Caenorhabditis elegans: one gene and its partner. The protein of the gene in region 1 purifies or fractionates together with the protein of each later gene. This does not show direct contact. Each region holds a gene or a part of one and is shown in the gene's direction. Other genes may lie near its edges. The genes, in order: eif-2alpha and eif-2Bbeta.

Region 1 (13,085 bases):
CACCGTTTTGCAATTTACAAAAATTGTCGTGTCGAGACGCAAATCCGCAAGTTTCCGCATCTGAGCAATATTTTTAGTTTGATGAATTCCCATAGATCGTGCCGAGACCCAATAGGTTTTTTTTCAGAGAAATCAAACTCGGATGTTTTGGCATCGGAAGCGCCGGAAAAACCACATTTTTGAAAGTTCTCAAGGGAGGTAAGCAAGTGCGCTCCGTCGCTCAATCCGAAATTATTTTAAAATTTGAATTTAATCCAGAAGATCCGCGGGATTTGCTCCGTACCAACGGGTTCTCCACAGTGAAAATGGAGTATGATGAGACTTTTCATTTGACGATCTACGATGTTGGCGGGGATAAGGGAATACGTGGAATTTGGAGCAATTATTATGCTGAGGTGTGTGTGTGTGTGTGCATGCGATAGGGCGCACTTTCACACTGGAGAATTTTTGAAAACTCTTATTACACGTGGATCTACAAAAAATGCGGGACTGATTTCGCATGGTTAAGAGCGTTTTGACGTCACATTTTTTTGGGAGAAAAATTCCCGCATTTTTGTAGATCAAACCGTGATTATTATAATTATTCTAAATAAATTAAGGTTCACGGAATCATCTATGTGATTGATTATTCAACGGATGAGACATTCACCGAGTCGATTGAGGTGAGAGAAGTTACGAAATTGATAAGGATTATGAATTATTCCTAAAAGTTATGAAATAAGATTTTTAGGCTCAAAATACGCTATCCGGTCTCGACACGACAACTTTTTGCAAAAAACTAAAACGGGTGTGCTCCTTTAAAAATTTTTAGGCAAAAGTACAGTAATTTCATTTACCGTATTTCTTCTATTAATATGGCCTCCCTATTAGACTTGCACTCCCTATTAGTATTGCTCCTTGAACACCCTCCGAAAATTAGTATTGCACTCCCTATTAGTGAAAAAGGCGGGGCCTAAATATGAGGTTTTCTGCAGTACACGCCACGCAGTTTTCTTATCTTGAGTGTAATATTGCACTCCCTAATAGTCTTGCACTCCCTATTAGTATTGCAAGCGGGAAGACCATCGAAAAATAGTATTGCAGCTATATTAATAGAAAAAATACGGTAGTTTTACAACTAAAACCGAGCCGCGATGCGACACGCAACGCGCCGTAGATCCACCCCAGATATGGCCGAGCCAAACTGGCCTAGTTCGGCAAACTCTTCCATTTCAATTTATGAGGAAATTCCATTAATTCCTAGGGAAGCCAGAAATTCGTGATAAAACAATTAAAACCACATATATTTTCGAAAAACTATGAAAAATCGGGCAAAGAACGTTTAAAACCACAGTAATCTTTAAAGGCGCACACCTTTTCGCATTTCACAGAAATTTGTCGTGTCGAGACCGGATACCGTATTTTCGGTCAAAATTTCAAGTCTCGGTAATAAATTACTTTTAAAAAATTATCATTCTCCAGGCTCTCCACTCCCTAACCAGCAATCCACATGTGCAGAAAAAGCCAATTTTTCTGCTCCTCAACAATCAGAACAATCGAGAATTTGATGACGTGGAAATTTCGAATGAAGTGAGTGACTTTGAGTGACTTAAATAATTTCCCGTAAACTGTCCCCGTCTTCTTCATCCCCCAGTGTTCCTTCTCTATCACGCAAACCTCTTTTCACAGACTAAAATCCAGGCGGGACAACACAAAATCGTACTTTTCTCGCATTTCAACAAGTATAACGGATATGTGAGTGCGCTTCAAGGTAGAAATTCAAAATTCCACCGATTTTCAGCTTGATAACATAAAAAGTGCCACATTGACGGTGATGGCGAGGGCGAAAAAGGATAGAAATGAGTATCAGGAGCAGTTTGTCAGATTCATCGATTCTGTAGGATTCCCATTTCATTTTCTAGAATTTTTAAAATTTTCCTTTTTTTCAGATTTCTGAGCACTATGTGGAATTATCCGAGGGTGTTAAAACCGCCGAGTTGGCGTTGAGGATCCGTCAGGAAGAAGCCAAAGAACAACGGAGACTGATGCAAATGAAAGTGGAGCACGATGCTTTGAAAGCCGACGTGGCTGGCCTGGAACTTCGGAACCAACCACCTGTGCAACCACCGATCCCGCCTGATCCTCCATCGGATCCGAAGTCCGCGTCGGTTCATATTGAAGAAAGTCCGCCGATGTCGCTTGCCAGCTCGACAATACCATCAGATATCATTCAGAGCACGCCTGAAACAGGAACTCCACGAGATCCTGTAAAGTGAGTCACATTAATTTACTTGAGAAATCCGATTGTTTCAGTTTTTGCAGAATCTCACAAACAAGCACGAAGCCTGTTTCGCCGGAATCTAACAGTGTTAAAGAAGAGCCAACTATCATTCTGAAAGACAACTATTTCTTGCCACCAAAAGCGCCTGGTCGACAATATAGCCGGATACAAAGGATTCAAAACGTTCTGAACAATCGAGTAGTGCCAAAATAACCTCCTTTTTTCACTTTTGAAGCCATAAACACTTTCTTGGTGTTGTTAACAGATTTATTGAAAACAAATAACAAGATCTTTAGTCGAAGAGACCGAAGCCCATGTCGTCATCGGATTCCTCCTTTGGCTCCTCCTTCTTCTTGGTCTCGGCAGCTGGGGCGGCTCCTCCAGCAGCTGGAGCAGCAGCGGCGGCGGCTGGAGCTGGTCCAGATCCGGCTCCGGAAGAGACAGAAGTGATGAGGTTCTGAAAACAATCGGGGTGAAACTTGAATATACTTATGAGAAATCCTTACCTTCACATCAACTCCCTCGAGAGCCTTGGCGAAGAGTCCTGGCCAGTATGGCTCGAACTCGACGTTGGCGGCCTTGAGAAGGGTAGCGATCTTCTCGCCGGTGATGGCGACCTCGTCATCTTGAAGGATGAGAGCAGCGTAGACGCAAGCCAGTTCTTGGTTCGAAGCCATTCTTCAATCGTAAGTTGCGCGGTTTGCCTTAGCTCCAAAGAGAACAAACGTTTGATAGAACGCTGAAAGAAAGTATTAATGCCACAAAGTGACCAGGGTAAGAAAACAATAAGATATGAAGCATGGGTAAAGACCATGTGAATAGAATTCAACAACAAGAACAAATTCAACTTGAAACATTGTTTTAATACAAGGTAACAACATGGCTTAAGCCACCAAAACACAAGCTCCTCCGGCCTTCTTGATCTTTTGCTCAGCCTCGTGGGAGAAGAATCTGGCTTTAACGATGAGTGGAGTCTCTGGGAGGAGTCCTTTTCCGAGAACCTGAAAATAAGAACAGTTAAATTTACGTTTCATAGTCATGAAAGATAATTGTCTCGAACCCAGAGGATGACATTTGTCGAAATTCAAGACAAACACCGAAGGAGATCCGAAAGCCGTTAGGCGCTACTTTGTCTCTCGTAACATACACAACCACATTCACCAGTGGAAGCGCCAAGACGAGAGAAATTCTTGTTTGACTTGTTTCAAAACACACCTTGAAGTATCCAAGCTTGGTGCAGTCAATGACTGGGGATTTGCCTCCGGTGGCCTTGTCGCGAACCTCCTGTGGGACAAGAGACCACAAACGCTCGACGTTGACGGTTGGGCAGTAGTGTTGGTTCTTGTTGAGATGGAACACTCTCATTCCAACCTGAAAATTAAAGTTTGAGTGTCAGATAATAAAGAACATATTAGATTTAATTGTCTCGAACCCAGAGGATGACATTTGTCGAGATGCAAGACAAACACCGAAGGAGATCCGAAAGCCAAAAGGCACTACTATCTCTCCTATAACATACACAGCCATATTCACCAATGGAAGCGCCAAGATAGGAGCGGATAATTTCCAACGAACTTTTAAAAAAGTACCTTAAAAATAATACCTTTCCGAAGTATCCAGGATGGTACTTGTCACGGTTGATACGGTGGTGATGTTGACCTCCGGCGTTACCGCGACCTCCAGGATGCTTCCTGTGCTTTCCAATACGTCCGTGTCCGTGCGAGACGTGACCACGGAGCTTTCTTGTCTTTCTCAACGCGTGAGCCATACCCTGTAAAGTAAACAATTTGAATGTGTAAAAGCGGCAAATTTCGATCGAAAATGGAGAAGAAAAATCAGAGAAAAATATTCAATGAAAGGTTCCCGATATTCTCGGATAAAATTACTACAAAAATACAAATTTTGTCTTTAAAGATAATTAAAATCGACCAGATCACACACTTTTTTCATTAAAACCTAGCGAAAAACCATTGAGAACAAAAAGAAATCCTAAAATATTCGCAAAAATTCAGTGAGTGTGTCTCCCAAAATCTGAGGTACGGTCACACTCGTTTGATGCGCATTTCGTGGCGAGACCCTCTCGATGAAATGCAGCCTCCCTTTAAACTCTTTTATTTTTTGCGCAACTTATTTCATCATTTAAATCGATTTTTTAAGCTAAAAAAGCAGAAAAGTTAGTTAAAATTTAATTAAATAATTTTGCAAATAAATAAGTTATTGATATTTTGTACTTTTTGATTCAGGCTCACTGTTATTATCGATTTATTCGTGGAGAAAGTCGAAAAATACTTTGTGTTGCATTATTTATAACATTCCGTAATTATTTTTGAAGTATTTTTTGTTTTCTAATTTTACTCGACTAAACTCACTTTTTCAATTTAGATTTCCTGACACCATTTAATTCATCCATCTAATTTCGTGATAATTAGGATTATTATCAATTTTGCATCATAGCTCGTTCATTTCTCTTTCTATTTCCCATTTTTTGTCCAAGTTATTAACTTCCATTTACCAGAATGGCTGCATCTGCACAGAAGCTTTTGGGTCGCTTGGGAACTGTCGGAGTGGGCCTTTCCATCGCTGGAGGAATCGCACAAACTGCTCTTTACAATGTTGATGGAGGTCAACGAGCAGTCATCTTCGACCGATTCAGTGGAGTGAAAAACGAGGTCGTCGGAGAAGGAACTCATTTCTTAATTCCATGGGTACAAAAACCAATCATTTTTGATATCCGGTCAACGCCGAGAGCCGTCACCACCATCACTGGAAGTAAAGACTTGCAAAACGTCAACATTACTCTCCGTATCCTTCACAGACCAAGCCCCGATCGTCTTCCAAACATCTACCTGAACATTGGTTTGGACTACGCAGAAAGAGTCCTTCCTTCCATTACAAATGAAGTTTTGAAGGCTGTTGTGGTGAGAAAAAATTTTAATTTAAATATTGCGAACTGATTTTGATTTAAAATTTGTTAAAATTAATTCCAGGCGCAATTCGATGCTCATGAGATGATCACCCAGCGTGAGGTTGTCTCCCAACGGGCGTCCGTGGCTCTTCGTGAACGTGCTGCACAGTTCGGACTTCTCCTTGATGATATTGCAATTGTAAGTTCACCAGATTTATGAAGTTTAAGCTATTTCCATGATTTTTCAGACCCACTTGAACTTTGGACGTGAATTCACTGAAGCCGTCGAAATGAAGCAAGTCGCACAGCAAGAAGCCGAAAAAGCGAGATACCTTGTCGAGAAGGCTGAACAAATGAAGATCGCCGCCGTTACCACCGCCGAAGGAGATGCTCAAGCCGCAAAGCTTCTTGCCAAGGCCTTTGCCTCTGCCGGAGACGGACTTGTCGAGCTCAGAAAGATTGAGGCCGCCGAAGAGATCGCCGAGCGTATGGCCAAGAACAAGAATGTCACCTATCTTCCAGGAAACCAACAAACCCTTCTCAACCTTCAATCCTAAATATCTCCGGTTACGTGTTTTAGACGAATTCCACTCATTTTCCCCTTTTCAAAGAGCCTTTTTCACTCTGTTGAACTTTCGAGAATAATCATGCCCGAATTCTCAATTAAATACTTTTTAAATTTCGTTTTTTTTGTTCTGTTTAGAGTAGGTCATTTCCTTCATTCATTTTGTGTAGGTATCGTAGCTTTTTCATTTTTTTTGCTTGTTTTTGTTGGAAATTTTCGTCTAATGAATAATTTGTTCGCGATATAATGAATTTGAAATTGGGAATTTATTAATTTTCAATGGTTGATTTCCCAAAATCATTATTTATAATTTTCTTATTTCTTTTCAATTTTCTTTTTTTTTAATGCTAAACTTTTCTTCTTCTCATTTCAGATGGCGTTAATGAAATGCCGTTTCTACGAGAATCAATTCCCCGATGTCGAGGAGACCGTTGTCGCCAATGTTAAAATGATTGCCGATATGGGTGCCTACGTCCGGCTTTCCGAGTACAATGATAAAGGTTTTTAAAATCATCATTTTAAAACAAAAATCGAATTAAAAGAGGACTAACGGTTCGGACGATTTTGAACGTATAGACCCAAAATGAGCTCAAATGAACGAATTTCGTAATGAAACTGCTCAAAAATGTTTCAAAAAATTTTTATGGCGGTTCAAAATTTTGAAAAATTACAATGATTTTAGCTAAAATCACGAATTTTCCCCTTTTTTCCGTGTCAAATCCTTCCTAAGTTAGCTTTTTTGGAATTATCGTCTTTTATTACATATATTGGTAGTTTATCTCATTTAATTTCGTTGATTTTTGGTTACCTATCGGCTTTAAATATACTTTAATCGGTAAAATTAAATGAGATAAACTACCAATATATGTAATAAAAGACGATGATTCCAAAAAAGCTAACTTAGGAAGGATTTGGCACGGAAAAAAGGGAAAAATTCGTGATTTTAGCTAAAATCAGTGCAATTTTTCAAAATTTTGAACCGCCATAAAAAAATTTTTGAAACATTTTTGAGCAGTTTCATTACGAAATTCGTTCGTTTGAGCTCATTTTGAGTCTATACGTTCAAAATCGTCCGAACCGTTCGTCCTCCTTTAAATTAAATCATTTTTCAGAGGGTATGATCCTGCTCTCCGAGCTCTCCCGTCGTCGTATCCGTTCAGTGAACAAGCTAATCCGTGTCGGCCGAAGTGAAAGCGTCGTCGTGATCCGTGTCGACAAGGACAAAGGTTACATTGATCTGTCGAAGCGTCGTGTCTACCAGAAAGACTTGAAACAGTGCGACGAGCGATTCGCGAACGCCAAAATGGTGAACAGCATTTTGAGACACGTGGCCGAGCAAGTCGGATACACTACCGACGAAGAGTTGGAGGATTTGTACCAAAAGACCGCGTGGCACTTTGATCGCAAAGAGAAACGGAAAGCAGCTTCATATGACGCATTCAAGAAGGCGATCACCGAACCGACGATCTTGGATGAGTGTGATATTAGTGCAGATATTAAGGAGAAACTCTTGGAGGACATTAGGAAGAAGCTCACCCCTCAGGCGGTTAAAATTCGCGCTGATATTGAAGTCTCCTGCTTCGATTATGATGGTATTGATGCTGTGAAGGCTGCACTTATTGCTGGAAAGAACTGCTCAAATGGAACCTTCCCGATTAAGGTTTCATTTTATAGATTTTACACATGGGCGCGCTTTTTTCTCGCTTTTTGCGTTTTTTGTTTAAAATTTCACGATGTCGCTCGATTTTGTCCGTTTTTTCGAAGAAAAAAACCAAGTTTTCATAGTACAGTTTTTACCCGAAAAATTCTCCGGTTAATTTCTTTTAATATTGTGAATTATTGTCATTTTTCAATGTCTTCTTTTATAACTTGTTGTATATTTATATGAAGAGAAAGCGAGTTTTATAATATTTTTCAGAAAGAGAGTTTTCAGCTATTTTTTAAACACAGTTTTTACCCGAAAAAATGCTTTTTTGTCTCTCTTTCTGAAAATACGATAAAACTCGCTTTCTCTTCATTTAAATATACAAATTATCAAGAAGGACATTTTAAAAATGACAATAATTCACAATATTAAGATAAATTAACAGGGGAATTTCAAATAATGTGCAAGATTTGGGTGATTTTTTTTCGGTTAAAAAATGTGAAAACTTGGTTATTTTTCATTTAAAAAATAGCTGAACACTTCTTTATTCGAAAAAAAAACGGCCAAAATCGATCGAAATCATGAAATTTTGGACAAAAAAAACGAAAAAAAAGGAAAATTACCGCACCCAAAAAGCGAGAAAAAAGCGCGCCGCAGGGTTGCGGCCGGAATCCCCGCCTCCAATAAACCACGCCCATGTGCGCAGTGCGAAATTGTTTTTTTTTAAATATTTAAAAAATAATTGTCTAATTCAGATCAATCTCATCGCCGCTCCCCACTTCGTCGTCACCACACAAACATTGGACAGAGAAGGTGGAATTGAGGCCGTCAACAGCATTCTGGATACTATCAAAAATGCGATTGAAGGATTCAAGGGAAAATTCACGATCAAGGAGGAGGCGAGAATTGTGACGGATATTGATGATGAGAAGAAGAAGGGTGATGGAGATGAGGATGAGGAGGAATCAGAGGAAGACGAGGACGAGGAAGAGGATGAGGATGATGTGAGTTTTGGAGTTTTTAAGACGATTTCAAGCATTTTTTCGTGATGATTTTATAATACATGAATTGGCAAGTAGAGCTTACACGTGATACTAATAATTGATAAATACATCAATTTCTGTTTTTACTGTACTGGCACAATAGCTCTCGTAAATCGACACAAAAGTAATTAAGTCACTCCGCGGAAAAAAGAAATTTGAATAACTCGATTCTTGTTTTGAATGTGGTTAACGGTTTTTTTTTAAAATCAAATTCAAAATCAGAATCATCCAAATTCCATTTTTCCGCGGAGTGATTTAATTACTTTTGTGTCGATTTACGAGAGCTATTGTGCCGGAATTTCAGTGCAGTAAAAACAGAAATTGATGTTTTATCAATGATTCGCATCACGTGTAAGCTCTACTTGCCAATTCGTGTAAAATTATCACGAAAAACTTTTTAGACCAAAAATGGCCAAAAACTACCAAATTTCGTAATGAGACGCTCTGAAAATCTCTCAAAAAAAAGTTATGGCCGCTCAAAGTTTTGGAAAAATGTTATATTTTTAGCTAAAATCTCAAATTTTGGCAACTTCTCGATGTCGCAGCGGTTGGAACTTAATTTTTATTTGATTGTCGTTTTTTAATGCATGTTTTGGCATTTTATCTCGTGTTGTTTCGTTAATTGAGATGCTTTTTCGGTCGATGCGGGCTCAAACTTTTATCGTATTTGTGCCCGCATCGACCATAAAGAATCTCAGTCAACGAAAAAACACGAAATAAAATGCCAAAACATGCATTAAAAAACGACAATCAAATAAAAATTAAGTTCCAACCGCTGCGACATCGAGAAGTTGCCAAAATTTGAGATTTTAGCTGAAAATATAACATGTTTCCAAAACTTTGAGCGGCCATAACTTTTTTTTGAAAAATTTTCAGAACGTCTCATTACGGAATTTGGTAGTTTTGGATCATTTTGGGTCTAAAAAACAAAGCCTCAAATTTCGGTACTCCACCTTGAAAGCTAGAAAAACGAAAAAAAATTTTTCTTTCAGGATGGACTCATGGCTCCAAAGGGTTTGGATCAACAAGTCGACGCGGAAGAAGCCAGCAGAGATAACCGAAAGAAGGCCGGCGACGATGAAGACAGTGATGAGGAGGATGATTAATTATTTGAAAATTGAAAATTGAAAATTCCCATTGTTTTTTTTTTGCTTTTATTGGTGTAATTGGCTCCGATTCTTTCTGGACTATTATTATAGTATTATTCAATTTTGGCACTATCATTTCTCTTCATCTGTTCTGTTGTTTTGTTCCTTTCCCCCTTTAAATGTGGAGTACCGATATTTTAGACTTTGCTTTTTTAGACCTAAAATGACCCAAAACTACCGAATTTTGTAATGAGACGTTCTGAAAATTTTTTACAAAAAAAAGTTATGGCGGTTCAAAGTTTCGGAAAAAATACCCCTTTTCAGCTAAAATCGAAATTTTGCCAACTTCTCGGTGTCTCAGTGTTTCGAACTTAATTTTTATTTAATTATCACTTTTTAAACAATATTTTGGTCTTTTATTAGACGTTGATTAGTTGATTTTTCGATCATTGGGGCACAAAAATGTAACTTTTATTTGTCCCCCACTGGTCGAAAATGTGCTTACATTAACGAATAAATGTCTAATAAAAGACCAAAATATTGTTTAAAAAGTGATAATTAAATAAAACTTAAGTTCCAGACTCTACGACACCGAGAAGTTGGCAAAAATTTCGATTTTAGCTGAAAATGGGCTATTTTTCCCAGAACTTTGAACCGCCATAACCTTTTTTTGAGAAATTTTCAAAACGCCTCATTAGGTAGTTTTCGGTAGTATTTTGGGTCTAAAAATGCAAAATCTCAGGTTTCGATACTCCACCTTTGACCTTCTATTTATTGTCTCCCATCCCCCGTTTTTTTTCCATTTTTGTGGGCTCCCAATTCGTTATGAACAGTGAGCTGGTTTTTCATCGCAGGCTTCTTTTTCCAGCAGTTACGAAGCAGACGTTCTGTGTTCAATACTTGACCATTCTCCCCCCGCCAGAAATGATCGATAAGAGGTGGTCCTCGGAGACCCGCGCGCGTGCGCATAGGTCACCTGATCACGTGGTGAAGGGCAACTGCCATTGTTTCAACGCCGGAATATTTTTTGAACCTTTATTGATTATCTCAAGTTTCTTATCAAATTTTCGAAAATTTGCCTTTCTTTTGTGTAAGGGGAAAATGGAAAAATTACGATTTTTGTTTCCATCGGAAACAAACAAAATGTGTTTTGTGGTGTGACCAAACGTCATTTTGTGTTGTTTTCTTGAAGTTTCTAGACGCGAAAAATAGAAAAATAATTAAAACTTTCTATAAAATTACCAACTTTCAGATTTCGGAAGGATTTTATTAAAAAAATTGGCAACATTTTTGATTTTCAATGAAATTTTTTTAAGGTGGAGTGCGCCCAGTGGGAAAATTGCTTCACAATGGCCGAATATCATGATTAAAAAATTCAAAAAAAATTTCTAAATTTTATATGATTTTTTGAAAATTGAAAAATCTCAGTTTTCCCCTAATTTCTATTTGAATTACCGCCAATTGGGTTCGTTCGATGGAGCGCGCTTGCACTATTTATTTTATTTTTCTCATTATTTCACTGATTTTCTTCATTATTTGTGTATTTTTATCGGAAAAAGAGAGAAAAATGCAAGGTAAATGCTTATAAGATTTATTAAAAAGTAACTGAAAATGAGTAAAACTGTGGAATATGCTATTTTCAGGATTTTTGGCGTCGAAACACAGTTTTACCCATTTTCAGTAATTTTTTAATGACCAATTTGCATTTTTCTCTATTTTTCCGATTAAAAACCCCCAAAAAACGAATAAAATCAGTGAAATAATGAGAAAAATAAAATAAATAAATAAAAATAATGCAAGTGCGCTCCATCGAACAATTTCAATTGGCGGTAATTCAAATAGGAATTAGGCAAAAACTGAGATTTTTCAATTTTCAAAAAAAAATCATATAAAATCTAGAAAATTTTTTGAATTTTTTTATCGTGATATTCGGTCATTGTGACCCTATGGGCATGTTTTAAAGCAATTTCCCCACTAGGCTTACTGAGTAGAAAAATCCCGGAAGTGCAATTTTTGAATTTTTTGTGAGAAACTCCTCCACAATTCGTCATTGAAAATGAAAAAACTCGACTAAATATTTTTTCCATGACAGGCGGTCTGCTCCGGGTTCGACGTCCTTTTCGAACTGATAACGTCACAATTTTTTTCTTTTTTTTTCCGCATTTTTTCATTCCGATTGCTATTTAATCGGGTGATGTCGGGGTCACTCTTCAATGTCCGTTGACTACATTGTTTTAATTTATTTTTAATTGACTCCAAATTTTCCCCTGATTTCGAATATCTATGTGAAAAAATTCAAAAAAATTTCCCTGATTTTATATTTAAGCTTGAAATCGCTTGTACTAGCATCACTTTTTTTCAAATTCGCGCCCAAAGAAATTCGCATTGGAGCGCGCTTTGATTTTCTTCATTTAAATATTTTATTTATTTTTCGCCGAATGCAGTTTTTTGAAAACCAGTTTCATTCATTTTTGTCGAGCTTTTATCGATTTTTTTCGACAAAAATGAATAAAACTGGTTTAAACTGAATTCGGCGGAAAATAAATAAAATATTTAAATGAAGAAAATCAAAGCGCGCTCCAATGCGAATTTGTTTGGGCGCGAATTTTAAAAAAAGTGATGCGGGGGACAAATGAAATTCTACGATTTCAAGCTAAAATATAATATCAGGGAATTTTTTTTGAATTTTTTCACATAGATATTCGGAATTAGGGGAAAATTTGGAGTAATATAAAAAATATTTCACAGATTTCGGTACTCAACCTTTAAAATTTTAAGTGAGAAAATATTATTAACGTGATTTTAAATTTTTTTTTCTTCTGCAACAATTTGAACTTTGATCTTAAATTAAAAAAAAAAATTATTTTTAAAATTTCAGTTCAAAAATGAGCGGATTAGCACCAGATGGACTGCCCAAAGGAAATCGAGTTTGGGCTGATGGATGGTTGGTTTTTGGCTGGAATCGACACGTGGTGTCAAAGTGTCTCTTTTCGGTTTGATCTACAAAAAATGTGGGATTTTTTTTCCAAAAAAATGTGACGTCAGCACGTTCTTAACCAATTTTTGTTGAAAAGTCTGCGTCTCTTTTCCCGCATTTTTTGTAGATCTCTACGTAGATCACGCCGAAATGAGACACTTTGACACCATGTGAATTGAGCCTTAAAATGAATTAATTTTCCAGTTATGACATGGTGCATTTCGGCCATGCAAATCAATTACGGCAGGCTAAGCAGTTTGGACAGAAGTTAATTGTTGGAGTACATAATGATGAAGAGGTTTTCAATATTTTTTTCTCCCTAAAAAGAAGATGGGAATATGCAAATTTTTGTTAAAATATTAGCAGTTTTTAAGTCGTAACTCGTAAATTGCGAAATTTTTCCCTATAACACACTTGATCTACGCTGATCTACAAAAAATGCGGCAGAGTTCTTAACTCATTTCGTATGGTTAAGAACGTGCTGACGTCACATTTTAATGGGAGAAAAATTCCCGCATTTTTTGTAGATCAAACCGTAATGGGACAGGGACCCCTGGCACCACGTGGCTATAAATTATTTTAAAAATCAACTTCTGTGAATT
Region 2 (10,661 bases), 9.8 Mb from region 1:
TGCGACTACATTCGTAATTAAGTTAGTTCGATGTCGTTTTTCTTGTTTCACTAACCATTTCTCTGCGTTCCGTTGACTTTCCAATTGTTTCCGGTCCGGTTACTTCTCAGAAATTGATAATTGTTATTTGTTATGTTGCTTGACCTTGTTATATAATTTTTTGCGTGATTTATTTCATTTTTGCATTCAGTATTTGTTTTTTCCCAACAAAACATGTTTTGCTTTTTAAGAAAATACTTTTAAATTTAGCATTTCAAATTTTCAGGGTGAAAACCCTTGTTTCGAAACTTACGTAGTGACTCGACGGGCTTGTTGATCTGACGTTTGTTGTTCTTTCTGAAGAAACGGAGGCTCTTGATGAACTTGACGTCGACAGAGAGAGAGAGGAAGATGTGCTTCCTTCGCTTTTAGTACTATTTTAGCACTCTCAAATCTTTCTTTCTTGGATCATAAATTAAAAGACGACCATTTGGACGATGCTCGAAGAGATCCAGAATGGAATCACGATCATCGAATTTTGTTGATGATTCGGCGAAAATGATTCTTCCATCGAGAAGAATATCCAAATCATTCAAATATTTGATTGGAGCAGCATTTTTGTTGTTTGCAGGCAGTTCTCCAGCTCCGAGGATTTTCACAACTTTCTCCTCTTGCCAATTTATTGCGAACAATCCCAAATACGCATCAACAATGTCCAGCTCGCCGACGTCGCTCAATCTGAAAATATTTGTTCTAATACAAATTTATAAAAAAGCAAATCATGAAACCCCGACATTAATTTTTTTGTTGTACTCGTGAGGAATCGAAATTGCATGTCTTATCTTATCACAATGATAATAAAGAAAGATCGCCGGATCTATATCTAACCTCGAAACGGAGGTTCTTGATGAACTTGGCGTCGACTTCCTTCTATGGAGAGGAAGATGTGCTTCTTCGGCTTCGTGATCCCATTACGGTGAGCCTTGTTGTTCCGGTTGTGATTGGTGTGATTCTCGGGCTTCCATGCATTGTGTGGCCTGCAAAATTTGTACTTTTCACTTTGCAATTCGATTTCAACACAAACCTGTGAGAGCTACTTGAAATTCTCACTCTCTCTGGACGATCTCGAACTCTCCAATGTGTTCGTGCTCACTGCGGCCCGGAAAAGGACAAAACCCTGAAAAAAACGTTGCTCAGATAAGGAAAAGACGGATAAAGAAAGTATAAAACCGAAAAGTACATGTAAAGCTTATTAACATTATCGTTTTCATCGAAAACATATATGAAACGGCTTCATTCGCCCAAAAATCCGTTTCCTCTCGATAATTCTGAAAATTAAGCGAAAAAAAACGAAAAATTGGGTCGATTTTATGAAGTAAAATACGATTTAAACATAATGATGCAATTAAATTCGAAAAAATCATCTGAAAACTATTAAAAATGCGATAAAAAGCAGAAAAATATTGCAAAATCGGTACCTAAATTTCATGCAGCAAAGCTGCTCTAATGAACTCTCGCCTCTGTGACGTCACGATTTTTTGAAAATTTTTTCCGCATTTTCTCGCAATGAGTCGCAATGAGACAGATTGACACCACGTGATTTCTCAGCTTCTTGGACACATTTCGAACCACCATTCTACAATTTTTAAATTATTTCTGTAATAATAAGGCTAAAATAATCACCTTTCCGCTGGCAATAGCTTTTCCAAAACTGTATGGACAACCGTGTCGGGAAAATCGGTGAAAATCGGACTTTTTGGGTTGTAGCTGAAAGTTATTATATGGAAATAATCACTTTAAAATTGAAAAACCTCATTTTACAGGTCAAATTAGCATCTCCATTTCCAATTTGATAGTACCAGAAATCAAATTTCCCGATATTCCATCAAATCGTCTCCGAGAACCCCACAAAACGTGTCGTATGCCTTCAAAACTGGAATTTTTTGGAGATAAAGGGACAGAATGAATGCTCTGGTGGCGATTTTGCTATTCCGCAAGAGAATTGTCTTTTGGATCCGTTTCCTGGAAAATTTACAATTTTTAAATAGAGTCAAAGGAAGAAACAAACTTTTCAATCAAATCCTCCATTTCCTTGGATTTGCCATTGCGACGAGAGCGGGCAGCAGACATTTTGCTCGTTTCAACCGAAAATTAGCTGGAAAAAATAATATTTTCGACGAAAATTGCGATAAAAACTGGTTTTCCGACAAAAAAACATTTCAAAAAATTGTTTGCGCGTGATGTCTTGCGCACGCTACGCAATACACTCCGCGAAGTGTATTGCGTACTCCGCCGACTACAGTACCTCGGGGAACATTTTTATTGCGTTTCTCAATTACTATAATATACTGGGAAAAATAATCATTTAAAAAAGTTAAAAAACGCATTTTTGTGGAAGAAAATCTTTTTTTTTTATAAATTGAGAGCAGATTGCAACGAGCTAACTGTATGACAAAGTTTTATCAGTTTTAAAGGTCAGTTTTCTGAAATTTACATGCTCTTTTTGCCTGCCCTGAAATTGTTCAATAATTCTAAAACAACATTTTAAAATCATAACATTTATTCGAAAAACACAAAAAAAAATCAATTCTTAACATCAATTTCCGCTTCCTCATCGTCGGCACGTGGCTGGTAGATTGTGAACATGAGTTTGAAGCTGAAAATATATTTTTTATTCGAATAAAAATGGGAAATTTGCTCACTCCAAGTCTTGTTTCGCCTCTAAATTCTCTTTCGACGGATTCGTATCGCATCGTCTGATGAGGCTTTCGTACTGGCGCCACGTCACACAATGATGCATATCCACTGGTTTTCCGCGCTGAAAATCGGATTTTTAGTGCTCAAAAAATCACAGCAAAAATCGATAAAACCCTACCGGAGGCGCCATAAGCTCTCTTGTGACAGTGTTATACGGCATTTCTCGGGCTTCATTCCTAAAAAAATCGATTTTTAAACGTAAAATTTAGGAAGAAATCGGGGGTCCTACAAAGCATCAGTCACACATTGTCGGAATTTCGAGCAAAGTTGTTCACGGGTCGACTTTAGAGTCTCAAATGCCACCTCACGGGCTCCATTTGTGTCGCCAAGAGACTCCACGTAGCTGGAAAAAAATTGACAATTAATTTTTAACTGGTTTCAGGTTTCAGGCTTACTCGCTAGAATCGGTAGCTTCTTCGAAAGTTTGGTCGAGCTCCGGGGCTCCAAGTCCGGCCAGGCAGATCAGGAAATCTGGAAAATAGATTTTTAGTGGATTTTGGATTTAAAGAAGGAGAAAATAGCTCAAAAATCTTAAAATTTCGCCAAATTCCAGCTAAAATCTGCAATTTTTCATTGTTTCAGCGATTGAAAACTGATTTCTTGCACTTTTCCGGTTGAAAGTTGAAAAAAATACGAAACATGGACCTGAAAAAGAGCAAAATTGGTGATTTTTGGACATTTTTTGACGGAAAAATTACAAAAAATGCCTAATTTCAGCTAAATTTTGCACATTTTTGGCACTTTTTAAGTAAAAAAGTGGTAATGTACTACAAAAATTAACAAAATTCAGAAAAATTCATAATTGTTTTTTTTGTCCGGCTTGTCTCATTTTTCGCCGTATTTTTTCTTTTTTCTGAATTATTGAAGTTTCTGGGATTTTTTTCCTCTCTTTAAGAAAGAAGAAGAAGAAGAAGCCGAAAGCCTAAGCCTAAGCCTAGGGATAAGCCTGAGCCTAAAGTCTAAGTCTAGCCTAAGCCTTAGCCTTCTTAAAAAATCAGAATCTGAGATTTTCGCTAAATTTAGACGTTTTTTCGAATTTTTTGAGCGTTTTTCCCAATGAAATTCGAGGTTTTTGAGCTTTTTTCTGAGCTCTTACGGAGCAAAGTGTGCACAACATGCGGTGGAATGTCCTGAAGCCATTTTTTGTGCGAAGTACCGCTTTGTCTGAGGCTGTAGTGCCAAATTGCGCATTTTGGCTGGCATGCCTGGAAAAAATCGACTTTTTAAACATTTTTTTTTTTTTAATGCATTTTTGATTTTTCCAACCACAGCAAAGTAATTCTTGATAATCTGCTTGCTTTTCCCGTTCAAATCTCCACTTTTTCGAAAAACCACAGAATTATAGATTTCTAAAAGATCCATTTTCCGGAAAATCTCAGTTTCCTGGATACAATGCTCGCCGGCTCGGATACGTGAAGATGAGAAGTCTATGGACTGTAGAGATGATGACGTGGCACTCATTGTGTGAATTTTGAATTTATAATTTTCAAATTTCTCGCGAATGCTTGACATTGAAGTTTTGAGCAAATTCCACTGAAAAAAAACCAGTTTTTTTTGTTTTTTAGGTGAAAATTCAGATAATTTCTTGGAATTTCGTACCAGAAATGCATTTCCAATGACTACAAGTCTACTATCAATTGTTCCAGTGCTCAGCTCTTCGGACAGATTCCAAATGCTAATATTCGCCATAGTTGGCACATTTTTTGCGAATTTTAGTGTTAGCTCCTTCAGTTTTTCGTCATCCAGTGTTTTTTCAATTATTCCATCGGCAATGATTCTTCCGACCTCTTCCACATTAATTTCAGGCTGTTCCAGTTGTAATTCTAGGTCTTCTGAAATGAAAAAAATTATTATTTTTCTACTTTCTCAAGTAAAAATTTAAAAATTGAATCACCTATCGGAGATCTTTCTAATTTCTCTTCAAGTGCCGCACGTATCGAGTTTTGACTGGTTCCAGGACGCTTTGCTGGGAGATCTGAAGCATTTTCTGGTATTTTATCGATTTTTCGAAGCTTTCACAAGTTTTACTAACCATTAAACCCACCCACGTCTTCTTTTGAGCGTTTTCTATTCATTGTTCACAAAAAAATCTTGGAAGAATTACTGTAAAATCTACAGAGAAATGGATAAAAATTTAAAATAAAGAATGTCCACGAGGAGTACAAAAATTGATTCGAGAGAAGTACACTGGAGAAAGTTAGTCGTGGAGCGCGTTTGCATTAGGATAATTTCAACACATTTTTGCATTTTTTTGGCAAAAAGTGTATTTTTAAAGTTAAAACTTGCTTTTTTTTCAATTTATTTCTTTTATTTTAAACATTAGAAATAAAATTTAAACCCGTACAGATTCAAAATGAGCTCGGACAATGAAATTGAAGACCTGAAGCGAGCATTTATTTTTGCTTTACGAAAAAAGTGAGTTTTCTGATGAAAAAACTCAATTATTCCTTCATTTTCCAGATTTCCACGTGATTCCTCTTCCTCCATAGCAATTGCGACAGTGAATTTGATCAGAAAAATCATTTTCCGCGAAAATCCAAAGACAATGAACGATTTGCAAGTTTCGTTGGCAAATCACTGCAAAAAGCTTCACGGAGCCGAGCGATCGGAGCTCATTATTATTAATATCGGCTTAATGATCACGAAATTGGCTCGAGACGAAGTTCTTCAGAAGAAAGGCGGCGGAGAGCCGGAGCCACTGTATACGCTGTGGAGAGATGACGATGAGACGATTAAAAAGCTGAAAACAGCTGATATGAAGAAGATTAAAAAAGATCTTCAGGCTTCCATTAAGGAGGTAATGCTGGGAACTGGAAACCAGAAAAAAGTCGCTAAAAAATGAAAATTTCTGCTCAAAAAAATCGATTTTTTTTTTTAAAATTTAGAATTTTCAACTAATTTTTCTCATAAAAAATGTAGATTTCGATGATATTAATATCAAAAAAAAGGGAAAATTATAATTTTTATTCAAAAACTACACATTTTTAATGCAATTTTTTCATTTTCAGCTAGTAACGGAAATCGAATCATCTCGTGAATGTATTGCATCTCAATCAACGGAACTTTTATTCAATAATGATGTTGTACTAGTTCATTCACTTCGTTCATCTCAAACAATGCACAATTTCCTATCACATGCCGTCAAATCAGGCCGAAAACATCGTGTAATTGATGTAGTTGATGAAGAAGAACATATTGAATCAACTCCTGACTTTGCAACTGCAATTGAGCTCTATGAAGTCGCCTCGAAGATGCCTGAAGCCTCGAAAGTTGTTCTAGTCGCTGCTGCTTATTTCCCTGATGGATCATGTCTTGTACCTGCTGGTGGACATCAAATTGCACTTCTTGCCAAGAGGCATTGTGTTCCAGGTGCTTAAAATGCCCGTTTTTCTAAAAAAGGACTAAAAAATCGGTTAAAAATCAGTTTTTTTTTCTAAAAAAAATTTAAAATCGTTTTCTGAAGACTTTTCTATTCAAAAAGTGCTTAAAATTACCTTTTTTCCGAAAAAAAAAATCAACGGAAAAAATTTAATAAAGCGAATTTTTCGAGAAAATCAGCTAGAAATCAATTTTCAACTTAAATTTTATAATTTTTTCGAAACTATTAGTGGCATTTTTCAACAAAAATTAAATTTAAATTAAAAAATAAAAAATAAAATTTAAATTTAAATTTAAATTTTAAAAAATTAAAGAAAATTTAAATTTCTAGAAAAAAATAAAATTTAAAGAAAAAATTTAAATTTTAAATTTCAAAAAATTAAAAAAAAAAGTTCAAAGAAAAAATTTAAATTTCTAAAATAAAATAAACAATTTCAAAAAAATTAAAGAAAATTTTAAATTAAAAAAAATTTTAAAATTTAAATTTTAAAATTTTTTTAAAACAATTTAAATTTCTAAAAAAATCGAGTTTTAGAAATTTTAAATTTTCTGTGCATATTCTGGCCATTAAAAAAAAAGCATTCTCATTTTGGAAGGAATTCAACAAAAATTGAAAAATCACTTATTTTTTTCGATTTTCTTTTTTTTTCCTAACTTTGAGACTATTTTGAGTATTATGAACGAAAAAAATGGAAAATAATAATTTTCCAATTTTTTCAGTCTACGTGCTCGCTCCATTCTACAAACTGTGTCCATTCTTCATGACAAATCCGGATTCCCTGCACACATTCCGCTCGAATTCCCTTCCATTCGATCTATCAGCCAAATCAGCAGGCCTTGTAGACTGTCTTCATCCGGCATTTGATTGTCTTCAATCTGATTTGGTTACCCTTTTTGTCTCGAATACTTCATGCGTTATTCCGTCTCATGTGAATCGTCTCAAGGAAGATTATTATCATTCACAGGATATTGCTGATTATTAATTTTATATCGTTTTCTTCTAGCCTCATAACTTGTACCCCCCGTTTTTCTCCATTTTTTCTGGGTCTTTTTTCGTCAAATTATTGTTTCTTTTTGTTTGTTTTGCGCCTCTCAATTTTCAGTAAATTATTTTATAATTTGGATGTGACTTTCCTCAAATTTACAGATTCTTAGAGTGGGAGAATCCACACGTGGTGTCAGGCTGTCCCATCGCTCCACTGCACACAAAAGGCGGGAAACGATTTTTTGAAAATTTGTGACGTCACAGCGCATTTCGATTAATTTTTTGTTTGCAATTTAAGAGTCGATTTTCATTAAATTTTTTTCTTATAATTTATAAAATTGATATTTCACCGAAATTCGGAAAAATTAGCAAGTTAAGTGGAGAAATTGAAGCAAAATACAACAAAATACAATTTTTGAAAAATTATGAAAAAAAGTCACAGAAATCGACGCTTAAATTTATAAACAATTAATCGAAATGCGGTGTGACGTCACAAGTTTTCAAAAATATTTTCCCGCTATTTCGCGTGCAGTGGAGCGATGGGGCAACCTGATACCACGTGAATTCAGGGTTTTGTGTTCAAAATAAATTGAAAATCTATCAAAACTTCGGATCCTTTTGAAATTGGGAATAAAAAATAAGAACAATAAACTTGGAGAATTTTGAAGTGGAAAGAAGAAGAAGAATAAGACAGTATCGAGTGGTCTAGCTGCAGTTGAGAAAGAGTGAGTTTTGTTGCGAATACGACGGAGAAGAATCTCCTCCGATCACGACTTTTATAAATATTGCATAATTATACACTCTATAACGGACGCGAACAACACGAGGCTTATCCAGCACATTGCTCAAGGAACAACAGCCAGTCAATGCTAACAAAAAACAACCACGTGAACCATTCCGCCGTGAACTCTCATGCGATGCATACAAAGAGCAAATGAGTCTGACAACAACAACATTCACGCCATGAACTTGCCACGCCAATTTGAACAACTCAACCCTGGACACGTGAACCTCATCGCCAACCTTGGAGGGATTCCCGAATCAGTTCTGACTCTTATGTTCTTACTTTTGTTTGATTAAAATTAATTTTTTGGAAATAAATGCTTTACTTCCCTTTTTCTAGTATTTCAAAAGCTAAAGTTATATTTTCAGGAATATGATAACCTTGAGGAGGCACCTCGAAAATCCGCAGGAGGTTTGTCATTTTTTTTTCATTTCAAACGTCAATTTAGATTATTCAAATTGAGATTTATAATTAGTTTTTAAGAACCTCAGGATTTTCGTGAAAAAATGCGGAACTTTTATATCCAAAAAGTTCTCATTTGCTCAGAAATTTACAATAGAAAAAGTATTTCGGTATATTTTTTTATTTTAAGAAATTTTTCAGGCGGGCCCACTCGGCGCCAGGGAGCAAAGGAGAAATTCGAAGAGGAAGCAACGAAGAACAAAGCCAGAGAAAGAAAGTGGGTAGAAGAGCGTAAGTTTTTTTCTGACAGTGAACTTGTTATTTTAGCTAACTTCAGCCATTTTTTGGAACCACCACAAAAAGTTTTTGACATCTTTACAAAAAAGTGTCAAGTATTTTTTAAATTATATGTAGCAATCATGTTTCAGACGGCTTCGATCGCCCACGGAGAACCCAATCGCAGAAATTGGCGGAACAAAATCGAAACCGATATGCGAGAAAAAAAGGTACGTATAAGGGTATGAACCTAGTAACACAAAATAACAGTAATTCTTTACAGCAGCTCTGGAGCAATCAGATAAGGTCGAATCGGATGAGGAGGAGAAGTTGAGCGAATCAGATGAGGATGAGGAAGGAAGAGGAGCAGTTGATGAATTTGAATTCGAATCAAACGGTATGTGAGCCGGCTTTGAGAAACCCAAAAAATTCAGCGAATTTCTTTGAAAATTTTGGAAATTTTAGAGATTTAATTTTGAAATTTGTTTAGAATTACAAAATTAGAGTTTTAAAATGAATAATTGTCTGAAAAATTTGAAAAGTTTAGGAATTTTCTAGAATCTTTATAGATTTTTGGAATTTTTTTTTTTGGAAAACGTGGAGGATTAATAGAGCTTTCTTTTTGCAAATTCTTGAAATTAAAGTCAATTTCAGGTGTAATTTATTTTTAATTTTTTAAAAATTTTGAAAAGGACAAAAGAAATATTACAGATGTTCCGTCTCCCCAGGCTCCACCGACACCGTCAATTGCTGATCCGGGCCCCACAGCCTCTTCATCGCCACTCACTCAAGACCCCGCCTCAAACGCCACTGGATTCTCTGGTATGTGAGCGGGCTTTGAAAAACACAAGAAATTCAGCGCATTTCTTTGAAAGCGTTGGAAATTTTAACTTTTGAATTTGTTTAGACTTTCAAAATAAGAGTTCTAAAATTGAATAATTGGAATTAAAATTTTTGGAATGTTTTTTGGAAAACTTGGGGGATTTGCTTTCTTTTTGCAAAGAGCAGTCCGCTGTGATGGATTCATCGACAACTTTTTTGATCGTATTCCAAAGTTCTTCCAGTTTATGAAATCTAAATTCCCAGTAAGTTTGAGGGCGAAATCTCCTCAATATTCTTCTCATTTCAGTCACACCAAACCTCGTCGTCGCAAGCGGATTTATTGGTTTCTTTCTCAACGTCCCCTGGCTTTCTATCATTCAAAGATGAAACCAAAGACACATGGTATATTCAGGAGCTTTATCGAGTGATTATTGAGAACGCGAAAGATACTCATTTGGCGGATCTTCTGACGGAGACCAACAGACGAGTCGTGGAGAAATATGAGGCAGATAAAGTAGTGTTCGTGTGTAAGCAAGCACCTGAGGTAGGCATGCCAAGACTTAAAAGGTATAACAATTGTTTTCAGTTCTGGTCGAGGTTCACAAAACAGCTATTCTTCATGTCTAGAAATGACGTGTTTTGATGTCAATGGCCTCGGTGATCAGTATGCTCTCAGTACATGGTAATATCAATTTTTCGACGCAGCTTTATCATATTTAAAATGTTTTCAGTTTCAACAGTTCTTTCAATTGTCACACATTTTTCCCGCTGCTACGATGAATTACAATACCTATTCAATTTCCAATATCGGATTTTCTATCAATTGTGACGATGTCATGCTAGCCTTATTCATATTTAAAATGCCCGTTTGTCAACTCTTCTGGATATTTTAACTGGTCAATAAAGTGTTTTATTTGAAGTTCTATTTGAAGTATTATATTTGTTTTGAAACTAGTTAAAGTTCAGAATGCTGGCAAGAACAAGGCATAAAATATTTTTAAAAAAAGGAGCTCAATTTTGCTGGTAAAGGCTCACAGTTCTTACTGCCTACTGCCCGAGTGAAGATATAAAGGTTGTAGGTAGGTATTACGCATGCCTACCTGGAACCCTCACTTTCAAATGTTTCCACATTCAGAAAAATACTAATAGTAAGTAGACTGGAGGTGTTTCGAATGGAAGAAAAGATTTGAAACTGGAACACCTGTTGCAGATTTAGCAGCTCCTGTAGCTTCTGCCTCCCGCTGATGCAGCACCAAAACCTCCACTGGCTGGTTAGTT

What was found.
Region 2: the proteins of eif-2alpha (region 1) and eif-2Bbeta fractionate together in Caenorhabditis elegans (co-fractionation; one large-scale study listed by BioGRID). This does not show direct contact.

The regions. Positions count from the first base shown.
Region 1 is NC_003279.8:2,066,577-2,079,661, forward strand, and holds eif-2alpha (Eukaryotic translation initiation factor 2 subunit 1), read left to right. Parts: upstream 1-6,103; 5' UTR 6,104-6,112; coding exon 6,113-6,230; intron 6,231-6,842; coding exon 6,843-7,390; intron 7,391-8,129; exon of another isoform or gene 8,130-8,130; coding exon 8,131-8,379; intron 8,380-9,410; coding exon 9,411-9,524; 3' UTR 9,525-10,349; downstream 10,350-13,085. Other genes in the region: arl-13 (ADP-ribosylation factor-like protein 13B), read left to right, coding at 128-198, 259-395, 600-662, 1,462-1,569, 1,669-1,734, 1,781-1,876, 1,929-2,251, 2,293-2,473; rplp-1 (Large ribosomal subunit protein P1), read right to left, coding at 2,553-2,717, 2,767-2,937; rpl-27A (Large ribosomal subunit protein uL15), read right to left, coding at 3,145-3,261, 3,476-3,631, 3,864-4,028; phb-1 (Mitochondrial prohibitin complex protein 1), read left to right, coding at 4,777-5,178, 5,248-5,364, 5,414-5,722; pcyt-2.1 (ethanolamine-phosphate cytidylyltransferase), read left to right, coding at 12,392-12,450, 12,688-12,781.
Region 2 is NC_003279.8:11,888,149-11,898,809, reverse strand, and holds eif-2Bbeta (Translation initiation factor eIF2B subunit beta), read left to right. Parts: upstream 1-5,082; 5' UTR 5,083-5,089; coding exon 5,090-5,151; intron 5,152-5,196; coding exon 5,197-5,533; intron 5,534-5,744; coding exon 5,745-6,105; intron 6,106-6,834; coding exon 6,835-7,097; 3' UTR 7,098-7,234; downstream 7,235-10,661. Other genes in the region: Y47H9C.9 (Zinc finger PHD-type domain-containing protein), read left to right, coding at 1-21; Y47H9C.12 (Mos1 transposase HTH domain-containing protein), read right to left, coding at 1,845-2,001, 2,048-2,109; Y47H9C.8 (NACHT_N domain-containing protein), read right to left, coding at 2,563-2,635, 2,682-2,797, 2,855-2,912, 2,966-3,079, 3,132-3,207, 3,833-3,941, 4,003-4,269, 4,336-4,568 and 2 more; Non-catalytic caspase homolog csp-3, read left to right, coding at 9,521-9,646, 9,691-9,927, 9,970-10,026.